7 linked regions of the Oryzias latipes genome follow. The protein of the gene in region 7 purifies or fractionates together with the protein of the main gene of each other region. This does not show direct contact. Links are inferred from orthologs where the notes say so. Each region holds a gene or a part of one and is shown on either strand. Other genes may lie near its edges.

Region 1 (4,358 bases), on a different chromosome or scaffold from region 7:
TCATGAAAAATGACATGGAGACACGATTACTGATGATTTTGTAGAGCGCTTCAAAATAAATCAACCTGATCTCTCAGCATCATCCTCGTCTTGCAGTAAATGTGATATTCAGTTGATGCTTCCATGAAGCGACGAGGCTAAAAACTTTGAACAGTAGCTCCTTCCACACAGGCGTCAAGCAGCCAATCTGACACGTGAATCGTGTTCGGCGTCAATGCAGCACAGCGTGACGTATTGCTGTTAGGAAGCTCTGATAACAGCTGCTGGAACTGTGCGTGGAGGTTTGACTGACCCAGATGGAGTCGGTGATGCTTTCGGTCAGAGCTCTGCGGGTGTCCCAGCTGAAGATGTGCCGCTCTGAGCTGTCGTCCACCTCCCACTTGCTCAGGCTGGAGGAGGTCAGCGCGTACAGGCAGCTGGTTTGTTCCACCCACAGCACGCTGTGGAGCTGAGCAGACACAGCAGTGTGAGGCAGACATGCAAGGATTCCTGCAAAAAGATGGAGGGACTCTTAATGGAGCTCACAGTGTCATTGGCTGGCGGGGACAGGATGCCAAACAGGCTAGAGACGCGGCGTCCGATGCCGGACAGCATGCCCTGACCCTGCTGCAGAGCTCGATGCTGCAGCTTCCCAGAGGAATCGGCACTCGTCCTCAGCAGCTGATTCCTGACGGTCGACAAAACGAAGCTTCCACCCTGAGAGCAGCACAGGCCGTGGAGGAAAGAGCATCAAAATCCGTCTGTTTCAGGAGTGAAGCTAAAGATTCAAACCAGGACAAAAGAGTTCTTACTCTGACGGCAACAACAAAGTTGCAGAGATCTCCCAGATCCACATCTGACTCCTTGTAGTTTCCCTCATGGGCCAGACTCGGCCAGAAACGAGCCGATCCTTCTGCCGTCACCGCCAGGACAGAGATGGACTGAACAAGAGCCGTCTCCAGAGGAGCGGCGGAGGTCACGGCCACGAGGTCGGCGGAGTAATCGTACTGACTGCTGGGCAGCTGCAGCTCCTTACAAACGGATAACTGCAGGAAACAGTGTTTAACCCAACATGTCAGAGTCAGAAAGGGTTTGAAACCATCCAGAGTATGTTGTCGAGTTTGTGCGTCACACCTTTGCGACGGCGGTTTGGCAAATCTTCCATATGATCAGACTTTCTCCACAAACCATCCAGGCCCATCCGCTCTCATTCACCTTCACGGAGATGCGCTCATCAGCTGGAGGGGAAAACACCAACAGACTGAGAAAAATGACCCTGAATTACAAAAAAAACCTCCACTCCAGGCAGAGAAGAGGCTTCTCTCACCGTCAGCCATGGTCAGAGCCTCCATCACTTTGACGGGCAGCGAGGAACCGAATGTCTGAACGTCATAGTTGATGGTTTCTGCGGCTGCGTGGCTCTGCACGCGTGTGGGAGTAGACCTGCATGAGAAACACGCCTCACATCAAAACAAAGCAGTCTGGGCGGGACCTTCTGCTCGCCGCATGTGTCACAGAAGTCTGTGGTCTTGCATGAAGACCAAAATGAAAGTATAGAAAAAAAAATACATTTCCTGATCGAATAGACGCGTAATTCCTCAGTCTGAGGGTTACAGCACAAAAAACTATTTATCACTCAAAGAACACGGATAGAAAAACTGATCACAAAAAAGCTGAATAAAACTAACAGCTAAATTAGTTGAATACATTTCTGTTTGAAAAATTAAAAACTAATTAATAACAAAAAACAAACAATGAAACAAAAAAAAAACAAAAAGGAAAATATTTAGTACCTGGTTAGGGTGAGATGTTTTAAAGTTATTTAAAAAACAACAACTTGATTATAAAATATTTAACAGATGTAGTTGAATTTCAATAAATTTCACATATAATGACAAATAAGGCTTTCTTTTCCATATTACATAAAAATCATGAGGACCATTTAAAATATCAGTAAAAGTGAAATATCAAAAATGTAAAAGGATGCTAAAATCCAAAAGTCAATTAAATTTTAAAGCAAATCAAAAAAGAATAATAATGTTATTACAGTTCAGATTCCAAGGTGTCATTTTTAAAACTATTTCTTTCGTTACAAAAACATTTTGCACATAATTTAATGTTTCTAAACCACAATAAGTCTTATTTTCAAAAATGTAAGGCATTTCTACATTTTACAAAACAATTCATGGATTAGAAAATTGACAAAAAGTGTTTTGACTTAATATATATATATTTTTTAACCCAGCCATTAATCTGCTTAAATATAAAAACTTTTGGGAAATCTTTTAAAAGAAACATTTGCTAAAAGTCTTGAATAATTCTGACATGTTTTCCATTCATTTAAAATCAGAAAAAACACACATTTCGGGGGTGACAAAAGAAAAAGAACAAGCATAAATCCTCTGATGGAATCTAAAGTTTTGATGCCCAGTGACTGAAATATCTGAAATAACGAACTTAATGAGTCAGAAATGTCAAATTGTGAATTTCCCCCCACCTGTGCGTCTCCTCTGTAGCAGTAAACTGTGTTTAAGTGTTTGAATCCGGGTCAATTGAACTAAATTACTATATGAAATGTAAAATCAAAAGCCGGGTTTCAAGCAGAATGCCGTTTCTTCGGACAGTCCACTCACCTCGCCGACAGAGGCGTCCTGCGCGGGGAGAACAGCAGGCTGTTGGCCGGCCCAGAGAGGCTCTTCCTCCCGGGGGTTCGGCCCTGCGGCCGGCGACCGGAACCTGGAACAGTTCTGGGGCTAAACATACTTTGTGCCCCCCTGACAGCCCAAAAGCTCCGAAACTGTATTACTAGTTTGTCTCCAAAGCTATTAACGCGATAAAAGAGCAAAAAACAGAAACTGAATCCCTCGAACCAAACACCGCGCGGTACAGTCGCGTGAATAATACGTCATTATAGTCCCGCCCACATATGTATTTTTTTTCAAACTTTATTGAATGTAAAAATTCAATACAAAACAATGTTAAACAGTGAACAACAACAACGAAGGAACAAGCCAGGGGGTTAATACATTTTATGCATATATATTGAAATTAACACACAGATCTAATGTTTTGATGGCGTTCTTATTATCAGAGTTTCTTATTGTCTTAATGTATTGTTTGAACTCATTGATAAAGATTGAGAAATGAGGGGTATGATTCGTAAATTTTGACTTATGAATGTGCCATTTGCATAAAAACAACAAAAGGTTAATGAAGTACAACTGTTCTTTTTTATGAGATGGACAGTGGGTGATGCCAAACATAACATTTTCTAAGTACAGGCGAAAGTCTGGGTCAATGTGGGCGGAAATGAAATGACAAACTTTAGACCAAGAAGTAGTGGAGAAGGGACATGACCAAAATAAATGTACAGCATCTTCAGGGTGTTCTTGACAAAAAGAGCAGGCAACATCAATATCTTCTTTGAACCTTTGCAGATATAGTTTGGTTGGATAGAATTTATGGATTAGTTTGAATGAGATTTCTTTCACTTTATTGGTTAAAAAGTATTTTGCCCACATATGTATATTCTGAAACCACAAAAAAAAAATATATATATATTTATATATATTTTAATTAAAGGTAGAGAACAAGATTGTTGCAAATCAGAGCCTGAAGTTAAAGGGAATCATATAATAGTAACCTTTGTAGAAGGTTGACTTTAAAAACAAGAATTTAGAAACAAGATCCATGTATCTTCGATTTATTAGTTTGTCACCGCCAGGCAGAAGCAATGGAGCGAAGATACATAGCGGCTAGCTAGTTTAGCATTTCGGATGCAAGAACGGGGAGAAGATAGGCGGGTATCCACGATGGGGCGCCACTGTAATTCAGCGGCGTAGTTTTGGCGGACCAACGGCAAACGGGAACACCGGACCATCGTTAAAGAATTATCTGCTCACGGAACGGGACAAAAAGATATGCAGTGAGTAGCATTTTTAGCTGTTAGTGACGAAAAAGCCCGTCACTATTAAGAGCCACCTACTGGCTAATGCTAAATTGACCGGCTAGCTCAGTTTTTTAGTGCAATCCTCCAGAGTAACCACCGGATTATTTAGTCTTTATGCTTCCGATTTTTTAAAACCAAGATCAGAATTTTCAGTCAGTTCTCACGAATTTAAATATTGATTTGGTAAATATTTAGCCACTGGAACTGTTGGGGGCTTTGCTGCTGTAAATAAACATCATCTTCCACAAAAACTGACTCTCAAGTCCCTCATCATTTTATAATTGACTGGATTAAAACAAATATCCCAAAAGTTGTTTGTGGACTTTTCAGGCCATGAAGAGGGTCCGGACTGAGCAGATCCAGTACGCTGTGACCCAGTACCTGAAGAGGCGGCAGTATGTGGACACCGACGGCTCTTTGAAAGGAGCCA
Region 2 (4,238 bases), on a different chromosome or scaffold from region 7:
GACAATAGAAAGGAAACAAAGCAAGAAGACTTGCGAAAGTATTGAAACTGAAATTAACACATACCTGTTGCTTTGAAGAGGGTCTCATAGACAAAGATATTACCTTGACCCCATGCAAAGCCCATATGCTTTCCTCTTCTGAGTGCAGGAATATTCTGTATTGAGAGTGATAACACAGATTTCCAATTGTAATAATCTCTGCAACATTCAATAGAACATTATTGAACATCACTAAAGTGCTTATTTGACCATTTCTATCTTGTAGCAAAGCTTTTTGGGATTCAATCTAACTAAGTTTTGTTTCCTTATATTTAAAAAAAAGACTTTCAATCAATATCTACTGAAAATCCTGCAAAAGTACGTTCTTTACAATCATAAGGCATTTGACACGGTGAATCATGAGATTCTTTTGTCTAACTTTTCTATGGACTCAATTCAGTGGATAAAATCATATCCAGAATTCAGAAAACAGTGTGATTGTATTAACAGTGTCAAATCAACTCTCTTAGATGTCCCTGTTGGTCTACCACAGGGATCAATACTTGGGCCTTTATTGTTTTCTATGTATATTAATGATCTGCCAAACACATGTGGTAATGTTGAATTTCAAATGTATGCTGATGATGCTGTCATATTCACTAGCGCAAAAAATATTCAAGAAGCAGCCTCTATTCTTACCTCAGCTCTGGTTCCTGTAAATGAATGGCTTTCTAAATCTTGCTTACTGTTAAATACAACTAAAACTGTTTGTATGATGTTCACTAAGCAACCAGTGGACATCAAGCATTCAGGTATATTTTTGGAAGAACGGGAACTAGAAATTCTATCTAAATTTAAGTATCTTGGTGTGACACTTGATTCAACTCTGAGCTTCAAGAGCCATATTAAAAAAATTCACTTGGAGCTGCTAGAATGTTTTTGCATTCAATGATTCTATCACATATTGAATACTGTATTACATGTTGGTCCTTGCCGGGTGTAAATACGAGCAAAACCATAGAATCACTTTATAAAACAATCACTTAAGGTCTTAGATAGAAAACCAATGTCATTCCATGTTTGTAATATCTTGAAAAAGTACAAGTTGTTGAGCTTTGAGAATTTTAAAAATTTTAAATTCGCTTGTTTGATGTACAAGGTGTTACATGGACTTGCTCCGCCTCCCATGTCTGACTTTTTTTAAATAAGGTCTCACAGCGCTCTCAGGACTAGGGCCTCGTCTCGAGGGGACTGTGAGGTTCCACACAGAAAAACAGCCTTTGGACAAAACGCTCTTTCTGTAAAGGCCAGTAAACTCTTGAACAGTCTTCCATTGTACATAAGGGAGTGTCAATAATTACAGACCTTCAAAACACAGCTCAAGCAGTGGCTGAAAGCAAACCAGTCCTGTAACCACTGACTTTTAACTCTCATAATGTACCACTTTCTTGTGTTCTTATTGTATCTGTGACTGTGTCTTTTGTTTTGTCCTGTTTTATGTTTCCTGCCTAGGGACTAGGGATGCAAATTAGCATCATTGCTATAATCCAGCATGTTTACGCCTATAATCATTGTTTGGTAGATGTTCATTAATGTGCACTGTCCCTATTAAACAAAGCTTAAATAAAATAAAATCATTTTAAAATGTCCTGGCTTTCAAACAACATTCGATTTATTGCCTATTAGTTGCAATGTTACAACCAACACTCTTATGGTTTTCTTTTGCCTTTCTTAGTTTTAATCCATTGGACACATGCAACAGGATATTTATTTACCTTGACATTAAGACAGAGACTGGACTCAAAAATGTCCAGGAAAAGACTTACCTTTCTTTGTTTGACAAAGCACAAAATAACTTAACAAAACGTAGAAGACAAAAATAACGTTACATTTTGATTTTCTAACCATTGTTCCAAGTTTGTTTCTTTATATCCAAGAACATGTCAACTGTGACATTGTTTTAGCTACGAAACCTCCAACTCGTAATGTCGGTCCGTAACATTTCATCATAAACTTTTGTGTTTGTATCATTAACTACTAGTGTATTTTTTTATTCCGAATTTTAGGATTTACAAAATTCAAAATGCTTAGCTAACTTGTTAGCTGCTATTCGATAGCGCATAACAATAAACTACATAGTACGAAAGACTTACGGTTATCGTCGGTTCAACGTCTACCTCCTCCATCGGATGAAACTTTTTAGATCCTTTTAAATTTCAAACTATGAACTTTTTCACCTTAATCATGCCATTTAACACGTGCTATAATATAGCAACGCTTGCGCGCCTCTCTTTTTCTACGACTATCTCGCGCATGCGTCAAATGTAGGACTGTCCTACTTAATGCCTGTTTTGTTTTTTGTTTTTTTAAATTTGCAAGTACAGTACTTTCTTTTACTTTTAATCTACGTCAAGAAAACTGACATGACTGAAGCAAATAACACTATCTTTAGAATCGATATACATTTAAAAGTCGAAGTAATTTTATTCCGAAAACGTGTAACATATTCTCAGAATCAGGAAGATACAATCGTATCATATTGTTAATATACATTAAAACGTTATATAAGTTAGCTATCTTAGAAAATATATCGCCATATCGGTAAATGTTGTCGTTTAGTCGGTGCCTGTTTTTTATTGTAACAAAAAAAGAAAGAAAAACCAAGATGGCCACTGGGCTATAATGAGGGGTTAAAATAAGGAGAGTACTAATATATCACGCTGTACATCTAATACCGATCATATGGGCGCTTTATGAAACGTGCAGCACTGATACTAGTCTTCGGCGTGACGATGAACAGATTTCCTTCGTATATAATAGACCTAAACCAAAAACAAAAGGGAAAAATTCTGCCGTGCGCGTGCATGTGAAGCCGAGTATCTCTGTAACGCGCAGGCGGTAGTCTCCCGCCCATAACTAGACTGCGCTTTAGTCCACGTGACTTCATGCGGCCAATTAAATCCTTGTTCAGTGAACGCGCATTGACACATGCCCGCGCACGTTTCCCCGAATAATTTAAACGGGAACGAGTACGTGCGCGCACTCATATTCTTTGTGTGGTAGCATAGAGAAGCGCCAAAAGAGTGACGATGGCTGATGAAAAACCAAAGGTAAGTGACCCCATTGTCAATTACGATGCTATTACAAATTAACTGGATCGCCGATCTTAAAGGTGAATTTACATTCCCGCGTGTGCTGTTCGTATTTTTTTAAATAAAAAAGTTAAGTGATAAGATTCAACTGTACCTACTTTGATGGACCGGAAGGTATGTGAGCGCGCATGGACTGGCGCGCACGTCGCTTTTAGGCTGATTACATCCCGCCAACCAGCTGGTGTCGTTCTCTATAAATCTTGCGGTTTTCTTGCGTTGTGTTTGTGTGGTAATTAAGTTGTCTGTGTTTTGTAATGACGCACCAGAATGGAAAAAATAAACAAGAAAACGAACTGTTTGTATTTAGTCTCTAGACTAAACTGTTCTAGTCAGTCTGCAACACTTTGGCTTGACTCGTTGAAGAAAACGGGTTATAACAACTGGATACCAAAAATAAAATATTCAAATACTTGAAACTAATATTTAACAATGAATACGTGTTTTTTAGCATCTGTTTTTCATACGGCCTACAATTATGTTTCTATCCCTGGTAATTCTGGTATTTTATCTTTTTATTTTTCCACTCTGACAAACATAAAGAACTATAGAACAAACAATCTGCATGATAAACATTGCAACCCACTTGCCTCACAAAACGAACCTTTTTTGTAAATAAATAAATTAAATTAACTTTTTTCTGGTACAACAGAATGGTTAAATCCAGGTACATAGGTGTGACTTGTTGTGTGTCTTGGATCGTGTTTCCTTAAGTTAAAGGTCTTCTTAATTGGAGGACAGGTCTTCTTAATTTTTTTTCTTAGTCTCTAAATTTTGAATGTTGAACCCCAAGAAAAATGGTTCCTATCAATAGGTGTGTTAATGGTCAGAAAAGCTCTGAGCATTGAAACAAAGAAAGAAACCATCGAGCTGCACCTGACGTTCAAGGTGCGTCCTGCCGAACTGTATGACCACGGGGGAACAGCAACGAGGTCAGAAAACTATTCAGAGATGAAGATGAGAGGCAGACGGAGGCAGAGCTCATCTGCGAGAAAGTCAGGGTATGAAGAAATAAAGAAGTACAAATGCAGAAGGAGCTAAAACAGAAGAAGAAGAATCCAAGGCTGTTTGAGTGGCCTTGCACGGAGAGGTAGCTAGGACCGACAAAGC
Region 3 (4,248 bases), on a different chromosome or scaffold from region 7:
CAGGAAGGGTATCTGGTTTAAAACTCTGCCAAACCACCTTTGCGAAACAGTGACAGCTGTATTTCAGAGTTTCAATTTTAAAATCTGGTTTTCCAGTCAATTTGAGATGATCCTGATTTGACCCTGTGTGTTTTAAGTGACATAAAGAAAGAAGAATGCATAAAGATAAAAGCTTCAAATCTGATCCATGGCTTTCTCTTTTTAAAGTTCCAATTCCAATCATCTTTGGATCCATTGTAAAAGCCTTCCCTGTGGTCTTTTTATTATGATTATGCTGCTAAGAACTCTGAGCAGCGAGCTGGGTTTTTTTTTTCAAACTGCCTCCATCATCAGAAAAAAGAAAAGAACATGTTGGAAACACCAAAAAACAAAATTTTCATCGGAGTGCCTCTTCACTGATGACGACTTGCCTTGTAAGAATGAGGGCATCTCGGAATGCGAGGCAGTTTCCCAGTGCAGCAGCGAGCCGTCCTCCGAACACGTGAACAGGTGATCCGGGTTTGTGGGGTGGAAGCGAACCTCCCACACTGACGAGGAAATCCAAAGGAAAGTTAGTGAAACAGAACCAGAGATATGTTTAAAGTGAAATAAAGAAAGGATCTGACTTTCAGCCGAGTGTGCCTCCATGAGTGAGATGGGCGTGCCCCCCTGTCTCACGTCCCACACACAGAGCATGCCGTCCTGGCCCCCGGTGGCTACGATGTGCTGCTGGTTGGGATGTCTGTCAACGCAGTGCAGAGGAGCTCTGTCTCCTGACCTGGTGGAAAAAAAGACAAACAAGTAAAGGTGTGTTTCTGAAAGGATAAAGATACATAAAAAAATAATAAATACATCAAATTTCAGAGCTCTTACAGGGACAGAATCTGCGATGGGGAGCTGCTTTGCTGCCTGAGGTCCCACAGCTTCAGCTGGCCAATGGAGTTCACCGTCAAAACCTCCGTGGTCTTCAGGTAAGTCACCGCGTGAATTGTGCTGCTGTCTGCATTCTCTAACAAACACAACGGACAGTTTTAGACTCGACTCCTGATGAGGCGGTAACATCCGAGTCCTCATCTCACCGATGACCCGGACCGCTCCTTCCTGGTCGGCTCTGAAGACCACGATCCTGCCGTCCTCCCCGACAGTGACAATCTCCGGGCTGCTGCAGACCAAGGCGGTGCAGGGCGCGTTGTCACAAGGGTAGCTATGCGCCCTCGCCCAGTGCTGCAGAACTGAAATGGTCTGTTCAGGAAACAAAAAGGAAACCCGTTTTTAAACATGACATTTTGTTTTCTCCTCAAGAAAACCGAAAAGAAACAACGTACATGAGTGTTTGGATGATAGCGGAAAATAGTGACTGCTCCCGTTGATGACGCTGAGACCATCCGTTCCTGGTCCAAGAACTAAAACATGAAACAAAGAAAAACAAGAAAAATTACTTTATCCAAACAATGTACACATTTAAAATCATTTAAAATTAAAACCTATTGTAAAAACATTCCCAGTGTTTTTTTTATTATGATTATGCAGTTTTTAGCAAAAATCAAAAACCCTGTGTTGTTCCTTAAGACATAATTTCTGCAGAGCAACAGAAGCTCATTAGAAATTTGTTTCTGGGTTGTGGATGGGACTGTTAGCGTGAAAGTGACCCTACCATGATTTCCCAGCATTCCTTTGTTTACACGCTTTCCTGCTACCTAACAGCCGCTCACAACCCCAATCTAACATTAGCGTAGCACAAGAAAAAAAAACAACCTGCCGTACAGTTTAGATTTAGATTCCAGCTCAGACAAAGGAAAACAAAGACGGATGTGGATCTATTTGTCTGCGTGCGGAACAGGGAGACTTTGGCCCGCCAATGGCAGTTGCTGCATCGCAAACCGGGTCCTTATCCATTACAATTTAAATAAAAAAGTCCTCGTAAATGCAGTGCTAAGCTTAAATCCTTTTGTCCTCCATGATGAGAAAAATGCTACAAAAACATGTTAAAAACACACATATCTGAGTGAACCATCCAACATAATAAAGTGGGAAAATCCAGAAGAATTGAACAAAAATGTAATCAAATAGTTACACAAATTGATCAAACATTTGGGTGTGAGCTTCTGAAGGATCTTTATGACTTTATAACTGCTGACACTTATTTGACATGCTGAATAATTTTAATGACAGAAAAGGGAACATTTAAAATTTCGTTTTGGTTTTGTGCTCATTTCTATTTTTCATTTAGTTTGTTTATAGGCCTAAATAAAGAAATGGCTCCACAGATCAAACATCAACACCGATGATTCCGTCATTAGAAGCTTTTGGGTTTCTTACTTGCAGGTCCAGAACATCTCCGCCATGTTTGTGCTCACATAAAATTTGTGGGTCTCCTTCAAATCCGTCTTCTAATCCAGAATTGTTGTGATTTCCAATGGACCAGATAGACACCTTGTTGTCCTATAAATCAACGGGTTTCACATTAAACTCAGTGAACATTTAAATCACGACGACAAATGAATCAAAACAATTTTTTAAAGTGTATTTAAATAATTTAAATTAATAAAAAAAATTGAGTTAATTAGCAAGCGATCTTAATAATTTGTGTGGTTTTGCGCTAGTAGTAGTACTACTAGCTAACCTCGTTGTCCCACGAGCCCGTAGCAAAGACTTCTGGTTGTTGCAGTGAAGAATAGGAAACCGGACACCATCTCGTCTTACTGATTTTCTGAGACACATATTTGGCATTTATGCTCTCCATGGAAATTGAAGCCTTTTTGTTAAAATTTGAAGTGTTGTTTTCAGTTTACGGACTACACGAGAAACTACGCGCCTGCTGCTTCATACGTAACTACGGTGGCCCGAGAAGACCAGATCACAGTGTGCTATTCTTCTTTAAATTAATAGATAATCTGTTTCCCCCTAGCGGCCGACTTCTTTATTACCCAACAATTCCAATAAAGCAGAGACAGAGGAATTCCCTCTTTAAACTGACACTGGGCTCAGTACGTATCTAATTGGGTTTGTATTTTATTAAACTGTACGTGTTTTGTTAAAAGGGAGTGTATGTGAAAGGCGGCCCGGTAATAAAATCATTTGGATGTCTGGTGACGTATCCGCTCCGCCGTCTCCGCTCGAGGTTGCGAGCTTCATCGGGAAAACTGTTGGCGCAGGCGCGGCACTGACAGCTGCTGTCTACTTACTCCGCAAAGTCTGCTTAATAATGGCCTGGAAATCTGGAGGAGCCAGTCACGCAGAACTTGTCACCAACCTTCGCAGTGAGTCTTGTAGCGTTTTTAAGGTGGCATCGGCAAGCAATTCACCCGCGCGACGCTGGAAAACTGTTTTCGGGCGCGTGCTTGTTAGCGCAGGTGCGGTAGCTAGCTGGTTGCTTAAACTGTTAACCACTGTTGCCCCTAGTTTCTCCACCCCCTTTTTTTTTTTTTGCCAAACCACGTTACGCCGTGGGACACGCGCGCGCTTCTGTCATTTTAGATCAAAATAAAAGCACTAAACACCCAAATTACATAATATTTGCATTAAATATTTAGGGTGTATTGTGATGTTAGCCCGGCCAGCTAGCTATGTATGTGCGTCATGTAGGAGCATGTAGCTAGCGTTAGCAGCGGCGCTAGCTGTGTGCCCTGCCCACATCCATTGATGTCTGTCTGCACTGGCCACTGCGCTGTCATTTCACTGACGAGAACAGTTTAAACCGTAAAGCTCGACTCTGGAAACCACCCTTCTGTTGCACGAGACAGAAATTCACATTTGCTGTGTCACGATAGCAGCTAGCAACATCGAAAGAGCGACTTAGTGCCAAGTCCAACTCGGAATAAATGGTAATGTCATTTTGACACTTAGCCTTTTTGTTCATAATAAGCCTTTAAGCCAGTACATCAACTTATTTAATGCTAATATGTGAATTTAATACGATATTTGCAGACTTGAGTGTGCGTCAACATTCACTGTCAAGTATTTGCCAGCTCTATTTATACTCTCTGTGCTGTCAGGGGTATCATTGCTCGCTTTTTTGCCCATAGCTGCGTGTTTAGGAGGGCATCAGTCTCTATATCTGCTTATCTCAGTCCAGACATGTTTGCTTCCGACTAGCACACTTCATTTGGATTGAAGCAGACCACATGCAGAAGGCATGCTGATCAGTCTGCCACCTCTGGCTGAACCTTTCAACCCTGCAGGCTTTTGTTAAGGACCTTTTGTGGTTATATTGGCTTTATGCAAATAGGTACAGTTAAAAAAGTGATCATGTGGACTGTATATAATAAT
Region 4 (3,685 bases), on a different chromosome or scaffold from region 7:
CATTGTTCAGGAGGTTGATGTCCAGAGACTCCTCCACCAGCTGCACCGTGTCTCCCGACGTGATCCTGCAACGAGTGTGAGCGTAACCCAGAGACCCTGACTGATCATGCGTGGACAGCATGGACATCCCCATCACAGTTCAGTCTAGGACCAGCAAACTAAGAGGTCTTGACCAGGAAAATCTGGGACTGAGTGACCCCTCCCCTGTGGCATTCCAAACAGGAAGTACCTGCTGGCTCCAAGAAGCCAAAATCCCATAGACTTCTATAGAGAAATAAACAGCTGTTCCTCAGTCATTCTATTGGTCAGAATAACCATTCTTGCTCCGATTCATTTTTTAACATCTTCTTGATAATCTTTTTTTTAAATCATAATCTTTCTGTATTAGAAGTTATTCAAGTTAAAAAGGCCAATCAGATGCCTCAGTAAAGGTAGGTAGTGCCTACTGGCCCCACATCCAACGTTTTAAAGGTTCAGCTAATTTTGAATAGCGTGATTGCAAATGGTAGGGGCGTGGCCTTTCAACAAGCTTACTCCTGATTGCTTACTGACAAATTTCTGGTTTGATGATGGCCGCGGCAATGGTGGCCTCTGCATCTCCAAAAAATGGTGACTGAATTCACTTCATTTGGTTAGAGTAAATCATTTTCTATGGAGGAGGTCACAATGGTTCCAGTTCTCAGATACAGTCAATGGGAAGGACTAGACCACAGAGACACCCCCCTGTATAAACACCCCCCACCCACACCCATCAGTAGAGACAGAGATGCTCACCAGTGGACAAATCTGTTGCTGGTGACAGTCGACAGGTTGCCGCTCTCCTCATAATGAAAGGCTCCGGCGTTGTCGGGAACCTTCAACCCCCCAGGGAGACAGCTAACACCTGCAAACAGGAAACACAGGTGGGGTCAGATGCTGCTTCACCTCCAGGTTGGCCCAGGAGAAGCTGTCAGGAGCGCACCAGGCTGTCAAACTACCAAGAGGAACGCCAGTCTTTTATAAAGAGGATCATGTAAGGTTCCTTCTGTTTTCAGACAGACACTGCTGAAAAACAGACAGCTTCTCTCCTTTAAAGGGTTTCACACAAACATCCAAAGCTTGCTCAAGGGCCATGTCTGCTCAGACACTGCAGTCGGCTACAGGGTGTTTTTTCTATTAAATAAACATTCACAAAAACGGTAAAGCTTCCTTTCCCGTTTTTTCCTTTCGTGTTCCACCCTGTTGCCATGTCGACATGGTGAAACCCCACCACCACCTTCAAAGACCCTCAGCACAGAGACTCTGAGAAAGAGAGGCACCCGGCAGAACACCACAGACGGATTCAGCATTGCTGCAACATTTCCCATGTGGCCTACTTACATATACGACTAATGAAAAACAAAAATATAAAAGCCATTTTAATAAAAAGAAAGCAACACCTCCTAATCTCACTGTCTTCCTCAGAGGGAATCGAACCCCTGATAGCCCTTCAGCAGAGCTGGCTGTACTGTTTTCAGAGGGCAGCAGACCCCACCATCAACGGTGGCTGCATATCCTGAGGATCCATTCAAACATGCAAAAGAACAAATGAGCTCAAATGATCCATCAGGAAGACGGCAATGTGTCACGCTCACCTGACGCTCATCTTACTCTGACGCCGTCTCACCCACCTCACACTGTCCCACCTTACTAACGCTCGGCCTAAGGCCTTCAAACCCAACAGGGATGCAATGGATCACGGCTGAACTGTGATCTGTACAGATCAGTAGCCACAGTTCAGTTGTGTTCTGGTCCGTCAAGTTCCAGGGCTCGACATAGCCATTTGTCCGCTGGCCCGGTCCTGTTTTTCGAGCAGTACGGACCACAAGACTTTATTTTTTACTTGTCCGCTCGGGCCACTAAAATATCTAACAATTAATACATTTTTCATCTTTTTCAATAAAGTATATTTTGCGAAAACGTGTAGATTTACCTCGTCTTTATAATTCACTTTTTCTGCTAGTCCTGTGTTCAGACTTCAAGGGTTTCTATGGGAAACCTTTGATCACTTCTCCTCCTCTCCCGCCTGCGCGCGCGGCTTTCACTGCCGAGCACCACGCGGCACGCGCTCACTACTTTTTTTTTTCAAACTTTATTGAATGTAACAATTCAATACTAAACAATGTTAAACAGCAACAACGAAGGAATAAGCCAGTGGGTTATTATTACATTTTAGGCAGATATATTTGAACTGACACACATATCAGCGCGCCCCCTGGTGGTTTTTCACCGCGATGATCATAAATCCAACACTGTCACTGAAGAGAGACTGAAGCATGTCAGAGATGTGGAAGACATGGCAGGAATAGATAGGAATATGTTGGATGGAGTAGTGGGTATAATTAGTAGTATGGACAGCAAGATATTTAATGAATGCATTGAAGATGAAACTGTATCCACTAAGCTTTAAGATGAATGTCAAAGAATCAAAGGCAACTCCAAATACCTGAATCTCAGACCAGGGGTTGACATAGCCCAGAAATTTGCACTGGCCCACAGGGCCAGTAGTTTTTGAAACTTACTGGCCCTGCCTGAAAGTTACTGGCCCGACACCGCGCACAGCGAGACCCGCCGCTCCGCAGGTGCTTGCAACTTTAGGGGGGTCCGGGGGCATGCCCCCCCGGAAACTTTTAATATGGTGCAATTTGGTGCATTCTGGTGACATCACTTATTTCTACACTTTTCAATGACTGAAAATAGACCATATCAAACTTAAATCTGCTCTAGTCTGTTTCAGATGTTTTGAAGAGAGCACTGCAGTGTAGTAGGTAACACTAGTTAAGAAGTTTTCATGGTGCTTCTAACGGCAAATAGCGCAATAAATCATAAACCTTAAATGTGTTAAAACAATCTAATGGCAGCTTGAACCATTTAACGAATCAAATAACTGAGATCATTCAGCTAACTAGAAATACTTACTGCTTACAGTGTTGTAAAGAAAAACAAAATTAAGTAGTTTAACATTCTACTGCATTTGAGTCTGAGATTCAGGTATTTGGAGTTGCCTTTGATTCTTTGACATTCATCTTAAAGCTTAGTGGATACAGTTTCATCTTCAATGCATTCATTAAATATCTTGCTGTCCATACTACTAATTATACCCACTACTCCATCCAACATATTCCTATCTATTCCTGCCATGTCTTCCACATCTCTGACATGCTTCAGTCTCTCTTCAGTGACGGTGTCAGATTTATAATCAAATGTAATAATAACCCACTGGCTTGTGCCTTCGTTGTTGCTGTTTAACATTGTTTTGTATTGAATTTAGGGTTGGGCGATGTCCCCTAATTTGGCCGTTGACGATGTTTGCTGTCAACCATCGGGATGGACGATGACATCGTCGGGGGGGGGGGGGGGGGTATTTTTACATTTTTCGTTCTTATATAACTGCTATTCGTTATTTTGCTTTTTTCATTTTATTTCCCAACTAATGGTTAATCCGCAATGATCCAGTATAAACTGAGGGAAGTGACTTTAACAGAAAAAGTAACAAGCAAAATAGAAAAGAAGTGGTCCGCTCCTGCACTTAACTAGCGAAGTGGACCGGCGGAGCGCGGATTTACAGCTTTATGTTTGATGGGAAGGGGGGGGGGGGGGGTACATGAGCGGTATGTGTGGGAGATTTAAGACTGCGATCCGTCCCGCAGCTCTAGGGGTACGAGCT
Region 5 (4,237 bases), on a different chromosome or scaffold from region 7:
GCTGCAGCAGCCAGCGGACTCCTGCTGTTTTACTGTTCTGACCGGCTCTCAGAACCACAGACTGGAGAACGTTCACCTAAAACATGACGCAGAGCCGCTCAGCGTGACGTCCAGAACCTGATCTGCTCAAAGGCATCGCTCTACTCTACCTTCTCCTGGCAGAGGCTCTGATAATCCTCCAACAGGTCAAACACCGCAGAGGAAGAGTGCTTCAGAAAGGAGGCAAGGAATTCTGGGAAAAGACTTGCAGCTGCTGCAGAGAAAGCAAAGTCAGGAGAGGTTGGTTATTAAAAAATGATACGCTTTCTTCTTTAGAGGGAAATGTACCTGGAGATGCTGCTCAAACAACAATGAGGCTTTTTCGTTTCTCATCAATTATTCAGTCTTTTACTGTCATCACATCATAATTTCACATCAGGTTTAAAAACACATTTTAGGACAAGCTTCGAGCAGCGAATTTGACACCCGATTGGCGTGTGATGTGAAGGCATGAAAGTGGTTTGTTTTCCTCACCTGCATCTCCTGGATCGTCCTCCTTGAGCAGGGCTGAGCTCAGGTTGGCAGCATCGTCTTTGAAGAAGCTGGTGTTCTCCAGTCCAGACACGGGCGAGGTGTAAAAGCTGTTGGTCCAATCGCTGTCGTCCAAATTCTAGATACGCAATGGACGGGTTTGAGTTACAGACTGCAGCTGATCCCGGCTGTCCCTGCACATTAATCAGGGTCTCACCAGACTGCTGAGCGCGTTTCTGGGCGTGTGCATGAATCGAGGCGTTCGACCTCCAGGAACCAAAAGAGAAGAAGTGGCTGGAACCCTGGGGGTGACTGAGAGGCAGAGACATGAGGTAGGAATAGCTCAAAGCCTCAGATCTGACATGAATGTGAGCATCTCACCGGCCTGCCTGAACAACGAGGCAGGAGTGTTGATCAGGTGGGGGCGGGCTGGTGTTGCAGCAGAAGCGATGGGGCTGCCACCACTGGGTGACGGGACTGAGGCCAAGAGTCAGGAGAAACAAAGAAACTGTCCCGACATATAACTGTACACACAGACGCACAGAAACACACACAGCTACTGAAGCTGGAGGATACAAGCCACTTTCTTCCTCCTCCTGGCTGCGACCGTCACCTCCTCCTCTCGAACCACCGGAGACGGAAGCTCATTCTGACCCCTGGAGGTCAGAGAGATCAAAACAGAAACATACATTATCTTACTTGAAAAGCCAATTTTCTCCTAGTTTCATTTCAATGTGAATCAGGAACAGACGAAAAAGCGCCAAATGAAAAAGATAATAAATATCATGTAGCAAATATGCCGTTTGGGGCCACAAGTTCCATTCTGATGCATCCAATGCAAGAGAATGCAAGAGATCACATCACTCCTGTGTTGGTTTCGCTCCATTGGCTCCCAGTTGATTATAGAATCAAGTTCAAGATCCTCCTGTTAACCTATAAGGCCTTACATGGAATGGCCCCGTCCTAAATCAAAGATCTCATAGTTCCTTACCACCCAATCAGAACACTTCGTTCGCAAAACGCAGGACTGCTTGTGGTTCCTAGAATTAGTAAAAGTACGGTTGGAGGTAGAGCGTTTAGCCACCAAGCCCCTGTCTTATGGAATAAACTCCCAGCTCATGGAAGAGAGGCCGACTCAGTTTCTACAGTCAAAGTTAGACTTAAAACATTCCTCTTTGGACAGGCTTATTGTCAGACTAGTTAGTATTCAGAGATTATTTAACTTAATGTTAATTTGTTTAAATTAAACTTAATAACTTTCTTTTAAAAGGCTGCTAGAAGTTGAAGCTGGGGTAACTATGGTGCACTGGGGTTCTGTCCTCTTTTCTCTTCTACTTCTACCCTTCCTCTCCTCTATTCTTGATCATTATTCATCATTTAGTTCTCCATGCCTCTGTTTGGTGCAGTGTGATTCATGTATTGTCACTCTTTTCCTCTCCCCTCCTGGGGAGTGGGAGTGCTTCCAGACTCCAGTTGGATCATCCGTGCTCCAATTGCTGACCGTCTACCTCGCCTTTGCTCCTGCTCCTACACCTGGCTGTGGATCCTGCCTCTGACTCGACTCGCGCCTTTGACTGTCCCCCCAACCACGGCTGGATGAAGCTCGTCTGCTGGACTTTAAATGTGTAGTTGTAGATTTAGATAAGTAAATTCTTCTCTAAGAGTTCTGGTAAATCGCCTGTCCGTCCTGGGGGAGGATCCCTCCTTCATGTGGACACCCCTGAGGTTTCTTCGTTTTTCCGGAATCCGTTTTTATGGGAGTTTTCCCCTTAAAATTGAATTGAATTGAATTTAATCCATTTGCCGACAAAAATTGATCCATGAACGTTTTTGTTTTCCACGTCTGAGCTGGAATCTGGATCAAAACTGTACAACTGAGAGATCTCAAATATGGGTGACGGGAAGGGGGTGGGGTTAGGTGTAACTCAGGTGTACTAATCATTAGTACACCTGAGTTGAGGGAGTTTAATTAACTCCTGCCGCTCTGCAGAAGAACATACTACTACTAGTATAACTGTGTCCAAGAACGACAAGTGTTTGTCTTTTGGCTAAAAAAACAGCACAATCAAAAAAATAAAAACACTGGGAACGCTTTGAAAATAGATCAGAATTTAACCTAAGTGGGTCTTTAAACCTATCATTCATTATTTTTGACTAAACAGACGTCATGACATTCAGCTGACTGATTAGCTTGATGCTAGCATCGTTTGCTAATCTGACTCTTGTAACGTTTCCCGGAGACAACAAAAACGCAAAAACTGACCGATCGAACCGTACAAATGTGAACGTATCAGTGTTTCACAGCTGGTCACATTAATGACACAAAAATTTAAAATGTTTTACCAGTCCATGCTGGAGCCGATTCCCGCTCCGATATGTTTTCTTCTTCTCTGGTCTTTTACTTCTTCGCCTCTTCTCACGAATCTGCCTTTGAATTTAAGGTAAATCTGTCAGGCCTGTCAGCTGACTGCTGCCCCCTAGAGTTCACCATTAGATTACATCTATTTTTGAGAGGACGAAATAAAAAAGACAATATAAATATTAATTTAAATATTAATTAAGCATATACATATCTTTTAATTTTCACTTTTCTTTCAGTAATCCTATTATTTGTAATTTTGTGTATCAATTTGCCTTTTTGTGTTTTTTAGATTTATTCATTTAGTTAAATAGATATTCAGATCCACTATTTGATTAAAAAAGTTCACATTTGTGTAATTGTGTCATATTTACATTTTAAGTGATTATTCAGTCATTCATTTCTTTGGCCTGTTCAGCTGCTGAAAGACAGAGTTCCTTGTGTGTTGTACAGATTTTATGTTACAAAAGGTTTTCTTAAACACTCCAAACTGTTTAAACTTGTATTTTAATAGCTGATGTTATTTGAACTTCCATCCAGAGAACAGAATGACAAAGAACACATTAACCATATGATATGATGCATTTGATCTAAATCAAATCAAATAGTTGTCCTGCATTTTTTTTAAATGACTTTAAAGTTGTGCCTAATTTTGATATTAAATAAACAGGAAGTTTTTAGAAAAAAGGGTCTTTTTTAACAAGAGTGAACATTGTAATGTCAGGAAGGAAAATGTTTCAATACGTCTGATTTCAAAGATTGTGTATTATTTGAAAATTCCGTTTAAAAAAACATGTTGAAAAATATTTTTATACATTAAGATACACTTTATGTTCCCTACATAGAAGTTGAATTGTGTCGGATAAACGCTTTTAAAAGGATGTATTAGGAGTTTTTTCCCTTGTCAATTCCCGGCTGTGGTCGGAGTGAGACGTCTTTCCTAATAGACCATCTTTGTGCTCTGCCCTCCGCTCCGTTAGCTGCCGCTGTTGCGTGATCGATTCACGCAGCTCAGCTAAAGCAGGAACACCGGACGCTTCGTGGTCCGGTTAAAAGGAGATCTCCGCCGTTCAGAGAACCGGAAAAGGAGATTCTCACGGTCAGCAGCGGGTCCTGGTCACCTAAGAGGCCGGATCGACCCCCGCCGGCGGATCCCCAGCGCTGCCAGAGGGTCTGTTTGACCCGGGGGAAGATGGAGACCCCAGGTAAACTTTTCCCACTGCGTGGCAGGATTGGAGGCGACGGCCGCACAGAGAGGTCATTCATCAGATGGTCGCAGATTTGAACCTGGACCCCGCAGATCAGACTCTGGTGCGGGATTTCAGAATAAAAGAACCGCGTTCTTCTGCATTTGTTTGATCAATGACG
Region 6 (3,685 bases), on a different chromosome or scaffold from region 7:
ATCCTGAGCTGGGTTGTCCGAACAATCCAGTGCCCGTACCAAATCCTGTGGCTGTGCTGGTCTGCGTCAAGCCAAACAAACCCCCCGGCTGGGAAGCCGCAGTGTTTCCGAACATGCCCTGAAGAATCGCAAACATTTTTCAGAAAAATCCAACCACCCTCAGTGACCCGCTGGCTGCTGCCTGGACCCTCACCATGCTGCTGGTGTTAGGCTGACCCATGGTGTTGGTGTTGCCAAAAGAGAAGGTGGAGCTTTGAGTCGTGGTCGACCCACCGAAGGGTTTGAAGAGGCTGCCGGTGGTCTGCTGGTTGGGCTGGCTGAACAGACCCCCAGTGGTTGTCCCGAACCCACCCGCCGCTGGCAGGAGACAAATACGGAGCATTTTTCAAATCCAGAAGGGCTTTGAACGTTTGTGATTGAGATCTGGATAAAACGCCTGGTATGATTTGATCAGCGCCTTAAGATGCAGATGAGGGGAACTGATCATGTGCAAATTAGGACAGGAGATACATAAATAAATAAAAACAGAATATTTACACAGATACATGTATCATAGGTTGGCGTTTTCATGCACCTTTTATTTTGTCTGGTGAAATTTAATTTGTTCTGGATAGGCAGCTAAGAATATGTGCATAACAGATGCAGGACATTTCTGTGAAACCTATTCCAACAGTTTTCAGGTGAGGAGGTTCAGCCTTTAAAGCATAATTTTCCCATATAAATGTTAGCGATTTAAAAACTAATTTCTTATCGTTTCATCTGTAGTACAAAATATTCAATTTGGACCCATCTAAGCCAATTGTCATTGAGTTGTTGAACACAAACTGAGGAGGGGGTGTGGTGCTTTGCTTAGAGCTCATTACATCCCCCGTCTGCACACCAAGCCCCTCCAGATTGTGTTATCATTTCGGTGATCATCTGATGTATATTTTTGCCCTCTGCATCAGCTCCACTCACAGACATTGGAGCGAGGTGCAGCATCACTTACTGGATACAAACGGAGTTTTATTCGGTCCAAAGGCAAAGCTGTTGTTGGAGGTGGATGGCCCAAAGAGACCCGTTGTGGCATTAGACGTGGGGGTGGCTGCACCAAACAGACCACCCGTCCCTGCCGCGATCGGGTTGGTCGGGCCCTTCCTCCCCGCCTGGTAATCCTCCAGCCTTAATTCCTACATGAACACAGGAAGCAGAAACAAAACTCAAGCTGAGAGTAAAAGACAACCCTTCTCAGGTCAGAGGTTCACTGTCCCTCGTTGGCACAGATCTGTCCAAACTCACCTCCAGGGACTTGTTCTCGTACTCCTTCATGGCCGTGATGCACTGGTGTTTGGTGTTGATGCTTGTGGTCACACCTGCTTTCACCATAGTGTCAGTCCCTGATGGAGGCTGCATAAACAAAAACCGTTTTCATTCTGAGACACTTGGTTCATTTCGCATCAGTGAAGTTTGATTTTAAAGCTTTTAAAAAGCAAAACTGTGATAAAATGCTGTTTGAAAAAGAAAATATAGAAAACATGAATGAAGAACTGGCTGTTGAAATCCAGCTCCACAACTACCCATGATGCACCAGTTCCTGCAGAGCTTTGCACTCACATTGAACTTGACCGTGGTTCCTGGCTGCTGTGCAGCAGAGAACCCAGAGCCTCCGAACATGGAGCTAGAGCCCCCAAAGGGATTGGGGGCGGCATTGGTTGACCCAAACAGCCCACCGGTGCTGGTGTTTGTTCCAAAGCCTGAGGGACATAAAAAGGAGAGCTCAGCACCTGTACGTTTCTAGCAGTTAGAGGGGAGTTAAAGCTGTAGACAGATGACTATGCTACTCTGACAACAACACTGATCTTCTCAAATATTCTCATCTTCATGGTTCCCAGCAGCAGCTCCCACTGTTCAGTCTAACAGATGGGTGGATGAACCTCTAAGAACAAAGAGTCTGCAGGATCCTTACTACCAAAGGTGGCAGGTTTGTTGGCACCGAATGCATTGTTCGGTTGGGAGAAGAGTCCACTACTGGTGCCTGTTGGAGTGCTTCCAAACAAGTTGGTGGAGGTGCCGCTGTTTGCTCCGAAGCCAAAGCCAGTACTCGTGGAGGAAGTAGGTGGCTGGCTGAAGGTGCTGGATCCAAACAGGCCGCCTGAATGAAGCAGCAGGACAGGCATTGATGAATAAACAGTTCATCACGTTGACACAGGAAGACAACTTTAAAGTCAGGCAAGTCTCGCCAGAAGATCGCTTTCTTTGTAGATTTAAGCCAGTCTGACATCAGAGCATTCAGAGGACAAGTGTGTGACCGACAGAGTCAGGAGGTCAACGATGACGTCCTCACTGGAAGTGAACGTTCTTTTATTTTTGGACACCAGGGATCTCTGTGATGGTCCCAGCTGGACTAAATCATCCTTTCACCAACATCCTCACTGTTCCTCCTCGAAACCTGTCCAAACCATCTCCATCTGGTTCCCTGCATTCATCTCCCAAACATCTACCATAATCTGTTCCTCTGATGGATTCATTCCTGATCCATCCTGGTCTCTCCCAAAGAGAACCTCAACATCTTCATCTCTGCTACCTCCAGCTCCAGTGACACTCCAGTTAACGTTTGTCTGTCTGTCCGCAAATATCCAATGTATTTTAGGGTTTCAATACTATGGGAACGGTTTTAACAGCTTGTTAGCCGGAGTTGTTCCTCACATTTTGTGTTGTTGACTTTTTGGGCTCAGAATCATGTTTTAACATCATGCATCTCTGACCAAGTCGTTCCCCCTTCCAACACTGCATCTTTTTTGCTGCCCCTTTGGCCTTTACCTGCTATGTTTGAAAATGTCTTTCTTGAAATGAGTCAGTTAATCATGCTCTTCTAATGAATATTCCATTGTAAAAACATTTAAGAAGAAAAGTACAGATCCCAAACTTTTATCAGAACTGTTTTTTCCTGAACTTAAAGCCTTTAGCTCAACAAGAACCAATTTTCCCTCATTGTGAAGAAAAGTATTCTGATGCCGATTCTACAGCATGGCCCACACATCGTATAAGGAAACCAAAGGAAAGCACACAAACCAGGTTTGTTCTGGGTGGAGCCAAACAGTCCTCCTGTGTTGGTGGTTGCCCCAAATGCAGATGTCCCAAAAGCTCCTGTTGTCCCAAAACCTGTGTCTGTAGAAACACAAAACAAAAGAGGAAGTCGTTACAGCAGAAACGATGCTTTCAGTTACCTGAAAGAAGGACTGGTTACTTGTTGGCATGAACACGTATATTCAGCATTTTAGTTCTATATTGTACATTGTCAAGTTTAGACTACTTGGTAAAACTGTATAAGAGCTGTGAGTTTGTCGTGTGTGGTGACTTACTGCTGTGCATCTAAAAAAACAAACATTTTGATGAACATAAAATCTTTTGGTTGAAAGGGAGCACTTTTCAGTTCTTTGAATATTTATAAAGCGGCATCATATGTGAAATTAAAAAAACCAAAATGCTTCATGCACGGAAATGCATAATATAACACATTTGATGATATCATCCGACTTATAAGCACAGCTGTAGCAGTGCTTGGCATGTAATAGACAAGGGATTGGCGACCAAATATTAATATCTTACACTGATAATATTTGCTTCAGTATCAAAACGTTTGACTTGTGGTGAATCCATTTCAGGAAGCGCACGGTTTCTTTATGGGCGGTTGATCTTTTTAAAT
Region 7 (4,327 bases):
TCACTGTAAGGCAGTGTAGCTTGCTAGCTAACGAGCTTAATGTACTGGCAGCCGGCCCGTTTAGATGCCGGTTTTTTAGGTTAGGTCAACAACTTAACTGTCTCGCTGTTTTTATCAGCAAATATGAAAAGATATAAATCAAAAATAGATTGTTGTCCAACCCAGACCAACACGGACCAAATGTATTAAAGCTAGACTGTTGTCACTGCCAGAATCAGAAGATTACTGAACGCTGTGAAGAACCAGGTAAAAGAAAACTGTAATCAAAGTGACGTCCTGCGTTTTGATTGGTGGTTTCACTGCAGGAGGCGGAGCCAGTCCCGGGAGGGTTGCCATACAATTTCTTGAACGAGAAGAAAAATACATTTATATTTATTACAATATTTAAATATACATATATATTAATTTTATTTATTAAAAAATAATTTATCTATCACATTTTATTTATTTATTACAGAAACATTTTTTTCATTACAGATTTCTTAGACAAAAAACACTACTCATTACAAATTTGTACTTATTACATATGTTTTAATAAAAAAAATATTACTCACTTTTTGATCATTACAAAAACATTTAAAAGATAAAAAACAACACTGAATTTATATCTACCATGATGTTTTTTTTGTTAAACAAAAAAACTACAACAATAAGTTTCTTTACTTTTAGAAAGAAAATGTTCACATTATTCAAATTACGTATTATTTAATTTTGCCTTTAACTGCTTTTTTCCCCACATACTCTTTAAATCAATTAACTTTTCTTCCCTATCTGTAACTTAAAATACAGACTATTAAAGCTCTACTTCATCTAAGCTGTCTTTAACATTTTTATTCTTACTTTTATTTGGAGGTTGTTCAACATTTTTTCAGACCCTGAACAGAAATGTTTTAGTGTAATGTTAATTCAAACATTTTTATAGCAATACTTGTCAAATATAATAAAAAAAATTGTTAAATTCAATTTTATTGGTTTATTATGAGCATTAAAATTAAAGGTATAAGATAATAAAAATCACAAAACATGTCCAACCTGTTTCAGATATAAAGTCATACATTGATTGGAAAATGAAAAATATTAACAAAGATGAAAGAAAATGATGCCATCTTCTTAACAGGTTAAATTCCCTTAATTATAAATGGACTTAATTGCAATAATTTTTGCAGTACACAAAATAAATATTTGATCAAATAAATTTAATGATTGTCAAATAGTTTTATTTGTTGTCTTTCAATGGAGTTAAAATTAAACCGGCAATATTCCGTATCTTTTTTTGGTTGTATATTGGCTGTAGGGTGTTTATATTTAAAGTCGCCTTGAACTTCAAAAATGACATTTTGACATTTCCAAAAATTCTAGGATTTCTAGAAGGGAATTTGTGTGTTATCAATCAAATAGTTAAAAAGAGAATAAAGTTGCTGCAATCTTACGCCGCTCCAGCAGGGGGCGGTGTGGTCAGCGGCAGTGCCTTGAAAACACTTCTCAGAACGAGGGGGCGGAGCTTTCTCCCAGACAGGCGGAAGCTAGCGATGTTTCGGTTTTGTTGTTACCGGATTCGAGTTACAAAAACAAACAGTACCGTGTAAAGTTGAGCTTTTGGGTTAGATGCGGCCCTGTTAGCGCAAACCAACTGCGTTTGAACGGAGAGCAGGGGAGCAGCCGGAACAGTCAGAGTCATGTCTGCTAAAATACAACAACAAGCCAGGGGTAAAGACAGCGGCGAACTGATCAAAAACCACCACAAGCAGGCGTTTGAGTTTATATCGAAGGCACTGAGGATCGACGAAGACGACACAGGTTTGTTTACGGTGGTCGTGTCTCGACAACGACTCTTGTCGACCGTCTGTGACCCGCCTTGTGTGACGACAGGAGAGAAGGGAGATGCTGTGCCGTGGTACAAGAAGGGGATTGCTGAGCTAGAAAGGGGCATTGCTGTGGAGATAACTGTCCAAGGTATCCGTCCGTGTAGCAACCGGAAGGAGGATAGACGTGAACTTAAAACCACTTTACAGCTTTTTTGTGTGCTTTTTTTCTCTCTCCAGGAGAACAGTATGATCGAGCTAAGAGACTACAGGATAAAATGGTAGCCAATCTTACCATGGCTAGAGACAGGCTGGCTTTGTTGGGTAAGTTGCCCTGAGGTCCGAAGTTTACAGTTTAAGTGCAGATAAGAAAAAAAGTCCACTTTGTTCTGAAGCCTGGCTCATTTCAGGTCACATACTAAGGTCAAAATAGTCATTAGACTAATATGTCTCCTGTATTTGATGGATTTGTACAAAATGCAATAGTACTTTCCATGTAAACAAATACAGAGACACAATGGAGAAAAACAAAAATAAAATAAAAGCAACACAAAGAGAACCAGGGGGGTATTCCAGAATGCAGGTTATGCTAGTTACCACGGTAAGTTTGAGGCTAAGGAAGCGTAAAACCTCAGCTTTCGGTTCCAGAAATGGAGGTATGTTTCAGAGTATGTCAAGTTGCCATAGCAACTTATGCTCTGAACATAACCTGGTGTGGAGCAGGTTAAGTTGAAGGTTAGTTTGTTTTCACAGAGGTGAAGCAGCATGGCATTCTTTCTGCACCAGGAGTGAGAGGATGATGAGGTTATTTACCAGCCCTACTGCCAACTGGTGTAGTAAAGTTGGAGAAATGGCAAATAATTTAATGCTATATAGCTATTTTCTTTTTTTTAAAAATGAGTATATCTGTCGGCTCAAACTTAGACATATGAGATATCAAGAAGTATAATAAATTAAGATGGAAAAACAATTAATTGAATTGGAGTAAAATTACATTTAGTTAGATAAATATGTACATTTGAGTTTTATAAAATTGAGCTTGATAGATGTAAAAAATTAGGTTGAATAATTTTAACTTAATTACTTGTTACCAATTGAAGTAATTCATTTAAGTTGGATAAGTTATATATATATTTGCGTCACAATGAAAATAGAAATGAGATAGAAACTTGTGTGTTTACTTTGTCCGTTCTTTTTCTCCAAGCAGAATCTCTCTATTACTTTTTTGATGGACGTATAATCTTCATACGCCGTCATTAAAATCTCAGACTCCGTTTCACTGAAGTGTAGCGCTCTCTTTTTTTTCTCCACGCGTTTCCATGGTGACTCCGTAAATCGGCGATCCATTGAGAATGTCTTTATGTACCTCCATTAACCCAGGGTTACCAATTCCAGCGTAATTATGCTAACTCATATCCACTCTTTTGGAACCGACATACCCAGAGTAAGCAAGTTCAGGTGGATTTCAGCCAGAGTTCAGGCTTAAAGTCAGGGTAGTTTAAACATGCTTCCTGGAATACCCCCCTGTTAGATATGTGTTAATACACTATTATCTATTGTTGTTGTGTGAAAATCACAACAGAACAAAAAAAAAAGAATCAATAAGGCTGAAAAAAGACATATTCATGTTTTGCTGAGAGCTCAGACCAGGAAGCTTGTGGCCCCGCCCAGCGCATTTTCTACGTCACAAATACGATCGTTTGCTTACAGGATTTTTTTCGTCTGCTGCTGCTTCGCAACAATTTGCATAAAGAAATTCTTAACTTTCTTTAGAAAAATGCCACCAGAACATGTTCAAAACCCCAAAAAGTCTTGTTGCTCTAGTTGGGTGACGATGCTTCTGGTCAAACACCAGACATTTGCACTTTGCACACACCTATTATCATGATTTCATTCACTTCTTTGGGATTGGCTTCAGGTTAACCTCTGTCTGACTTCCATTCTCTGAACAGAAATGTTCCTTCAATAATATGTTGTGTTTGTTTTTCTCAAAAACCGTCCTAAACATTAATAAACGTTTTATTGTCCTTCTCAGAGTAACGGCGAACATTCAGCAGATAAATGGATAAAAAATGAAATTCAATCAGGATTTTACCAATAAATATCTCACAATGAACCAAATGTCCCCATCAATGCTTTTGCAGCAAAAGTTGATGATTATTTATCAGTTTTAACCAACACTGCAATTTTATAGATCCTTTCTTTTTTCCACACAGTGAATTGTGTTTTTTGCAGGAATAAATGAGCGACCGCTACTTTTCATCCACTCAGTTCAGCTTTTCTTTCACACTTTCTACACGTTTTTACATAAATGTTTTTGTCAGTTTCCCCCCCAATTATTTCCCTTCCATGCCAATAATTACTTGATCGATACGTTTTTTAATTGGGTGTCATTTAATGGTATTTTGCTTGTTTGGATTCTCTGCTGTTAACAAATCCTCGCTAACTTCTGTTGGGTTTTTGTTTCCAGAGAAGACGTTGGCTTCTAAAAAGAAGAGCAGTCCACCTCCAGCCACTGGTTTGTC

The links.
Region 1: the proteins of spast (region 7) and nup133 purify together in Homo sapiens (affinity purification with mass spectrometry; 3 studies listed by BioGRID and IntAct, counting the BioPlex papers as one, with this or other methods). This does not show direct contact. The link is inferred for Oryzias latipes from reciprocal best matches to the Homo sapiens genes SPAST and NUP133.
Region 2: the proteins of spast (region 7) and nup85 purify together in Homo sapiens (affinity purification with mass spectrometry; 3 studies listed by BioGRID and IntAct, counting the BioPlex papers as one, with this or other methods). This does not show direct contact. The link is inferred for Oryzias latipes from reciprocal best matches to the Homo sapiens genes SPAST and NUP85.
Region 3: the proteins of spast (region 7) and nup43 purify together in Homo sapiens (affinity purification with mass spectrometry; 3 studies listed by BioGRID and IntAct, counting the BioPlex papers as one, with this or other methods). This does not show direct contact. The link is inferred for Oryzias latipes from reciprocal best matches to the Homo sapiens genes SPAST and NUP43.
Region 4: the proteins of spast (region 7) and nup160 purify together in Homo sapiens (affinity purification with mass spectrometry; 3 studies listed by BioGRID and IntAct, with this or other methods). This does not show direct contact. The link is inferred for Oryzias latipes from reciprocal best matches to the Homo sapiens genes SPAST and NUP160.
Region 5: the proteins of spast (region 7) and nup107 purify together in Homo sapiens (affinity purification with mass spectrometry; 3 studies listed by BioGRID and IntAct, counting the BioPlex papers as one, with this or other methods). This does not show direct contact. The link is inferred for Oryzias latipes from reciprocal best matches to the Homo sapiens genes SPAST and NUP107.
Region 6: the proteins of spast (region 7) and nup98 purify together in Homo sapiens (affinity purification with mass spectrometry; 3 studies listed by BioGRID and IntAct, counting the BioPlex papers as one, with this or other methods). This does not show direct contact. The link is inferred for Oryzias latipes from reciprocal best matches to the Homo sapiens genes SPAST and NUP98.

What each region holds. Positions count from the first base shown.
Region 1 is NC_019859.2:2,092,337-2,096,694, forward strand, and holds the start of nup133 (nuclear pore complex protein Nup133), read right to left. Parts: upstream 2,887-4,358; 5' UTR 2,741-2,886; coding exon 2,613-2,740; intron 1,423-2,612; coding exon 1,307-1,422; intron 1,218-1,306; coding exon 1,114-1,217; intron 1,026-1,113; coding exon 792-1,025; intron 697-791; coding exon 526-696; intron 449-525; coding exon 293-448; intron 1-292. Other genes in the region: taf5l (TAF5-like RNA polymerase II p300/CBP-associated factor-associated factor 65 kDa subunit 5L), read left to right, coding at 4,262-4,358. UniProt on the Homo sapiens protein: Involved in poly(A)+ RNA transport. Involved in nephrogenesis.
Region 2 is NC_019866.2:13,020,820-13,025,057, forward strand, and holds the start of nup85 (nuclear pore complex protein Nup85), read right to left. Parts: upstream 2,849-4,238; 5' UTR 2,166-2,848; coding exon 2,133-2,165; intron 156-2,132; coding exon 65-155; intron 1-64. Other genes in the region: sumo2 (small ubiquitin-related modifier 2), read left to right, coding at 3,069-3,089. UniProt on the Homo sapiens protein: Essential component of the nuclear pore complex (NPC) that seems to be required for NPC assembly and maintenance. As part of the NPC Nup107-160 subcomplex plays a role in RNA export and in tethering NUP96/Nup98 and NUP153 to the nucleus.
Region 3 is NC_019882.2:17,710,063-17,714,310, reverse strand, and holds the start of nup43 (nucleoporin Nup43), read right to left. Parts: upstream 2,841-4,248; 5' UTR 2,723-2,840; coding exon 2,603-2,722; intron 2,422-2,602; coding exon 2,299-2,421; intron 1,383-2,298; coding exon 1,305-1,382; intron 1,222-1,304; coding exon 1,059-1,221; intron 989-1,058; coding exon 853-988; intron 758-852; coding exon 606-757; intron 528-605; coding exon 411-527; intron 1-410. Other genes in the region: pcmt1 (protein-L-isoaspartate(D-aspartate) O-methyltransferase), read left to right, coding at 3,062-3,239. UniProt on the Homo sapiens protein: Component of the Nup107-160 subcomplex of the nuclear pore complex (NPC). The Nup107-160 subcomplex is required for the assembly of a functional NPC.
Region 4 is NC_019864.2:4,331,098-4,334,782, reverse strand, and holds part of nup160 (nuclear pore complex protein Nup160), read right to left. Parts: intron 884-3,685; coding exon 775-883; intron 66-774; coding exon 1-65. UniProt on the Homo sapiens protein: Functions as a component of the nuclear pore complex (NPC). Involved in poly(A)+ RNA transport.
Region 5 is NC_019881.2:22,230,494-22,234,730, forward strand, and holds the start of nup107 (nuclear pore complex protein Nup107), read right to left. Parts: upstream 2,957-4,237; 5' UTR 2,862-2,956; coding exon 2,854-2,861; intron 1,167-2,853; coding exon 1,087-1,166; intron 988-1,086; coding exon 892-987; intron 823-891; coding exon 728-822; intron 650-727; coding exon 514-649; intron 254-513; coding exon 150-253; intron 77-149; coding exon 1-76. UniProt on the Homo sapiens protein: Plays a role in the nuclear pore complex (NPC) assembly and/or maintenance. Required for the assembly of peripheral proteins into the NPC. May anchor NUP62 to the NPC. Involved in nephrogenesis.
Region 6 is NC_019872.2:23,882,565-23,886,249, forward strand, and holds part of nup98 (nuclear pore complex protein Nup98-Nup96), read right to left. Parts: intron 3,148-3,685; coding exon 3,052-3,147; intron 2,132-3,051; coding exon 1,946-2,131; intron 1,734-1,945; coding exon 1,594-1,733; intron 1,387-1,593; coding exon 1,279-1,386; intron 1,170-1,278; coding exon 989-1,169; intron 358-988; coding exon 194-357; intron 119-193; coding exon 1-118. UniProt on the Homo sapiens protein: Plays a role in the nuclear pore complex (NPC) assembly and/or maintenance. NUP98 and NUP96 are involved in the bidirectional transport across the NPC. May anchor NUP153 and TPR to the NPC.
Region 7 is NC_019873.2:27,910,611-27,914,937, forward strand, and holds the start of spast (spastin), read left to right. Parts: upstream 1-1,485; 5' UTR 1,486-1,676; coding exon 1,677-1,797; intron 1,798-1,869; coding exon 1,870-1,953; intron 1,954-2,042; coding exon 2,043-2,126; intron 2,127-4,272; coding exon 4,273-4,327. UniProt on the Homo sapiens protein: ATP-dependent microtubule severing protein that specifically recognizes and cuts microtubules that are polyglutamylated.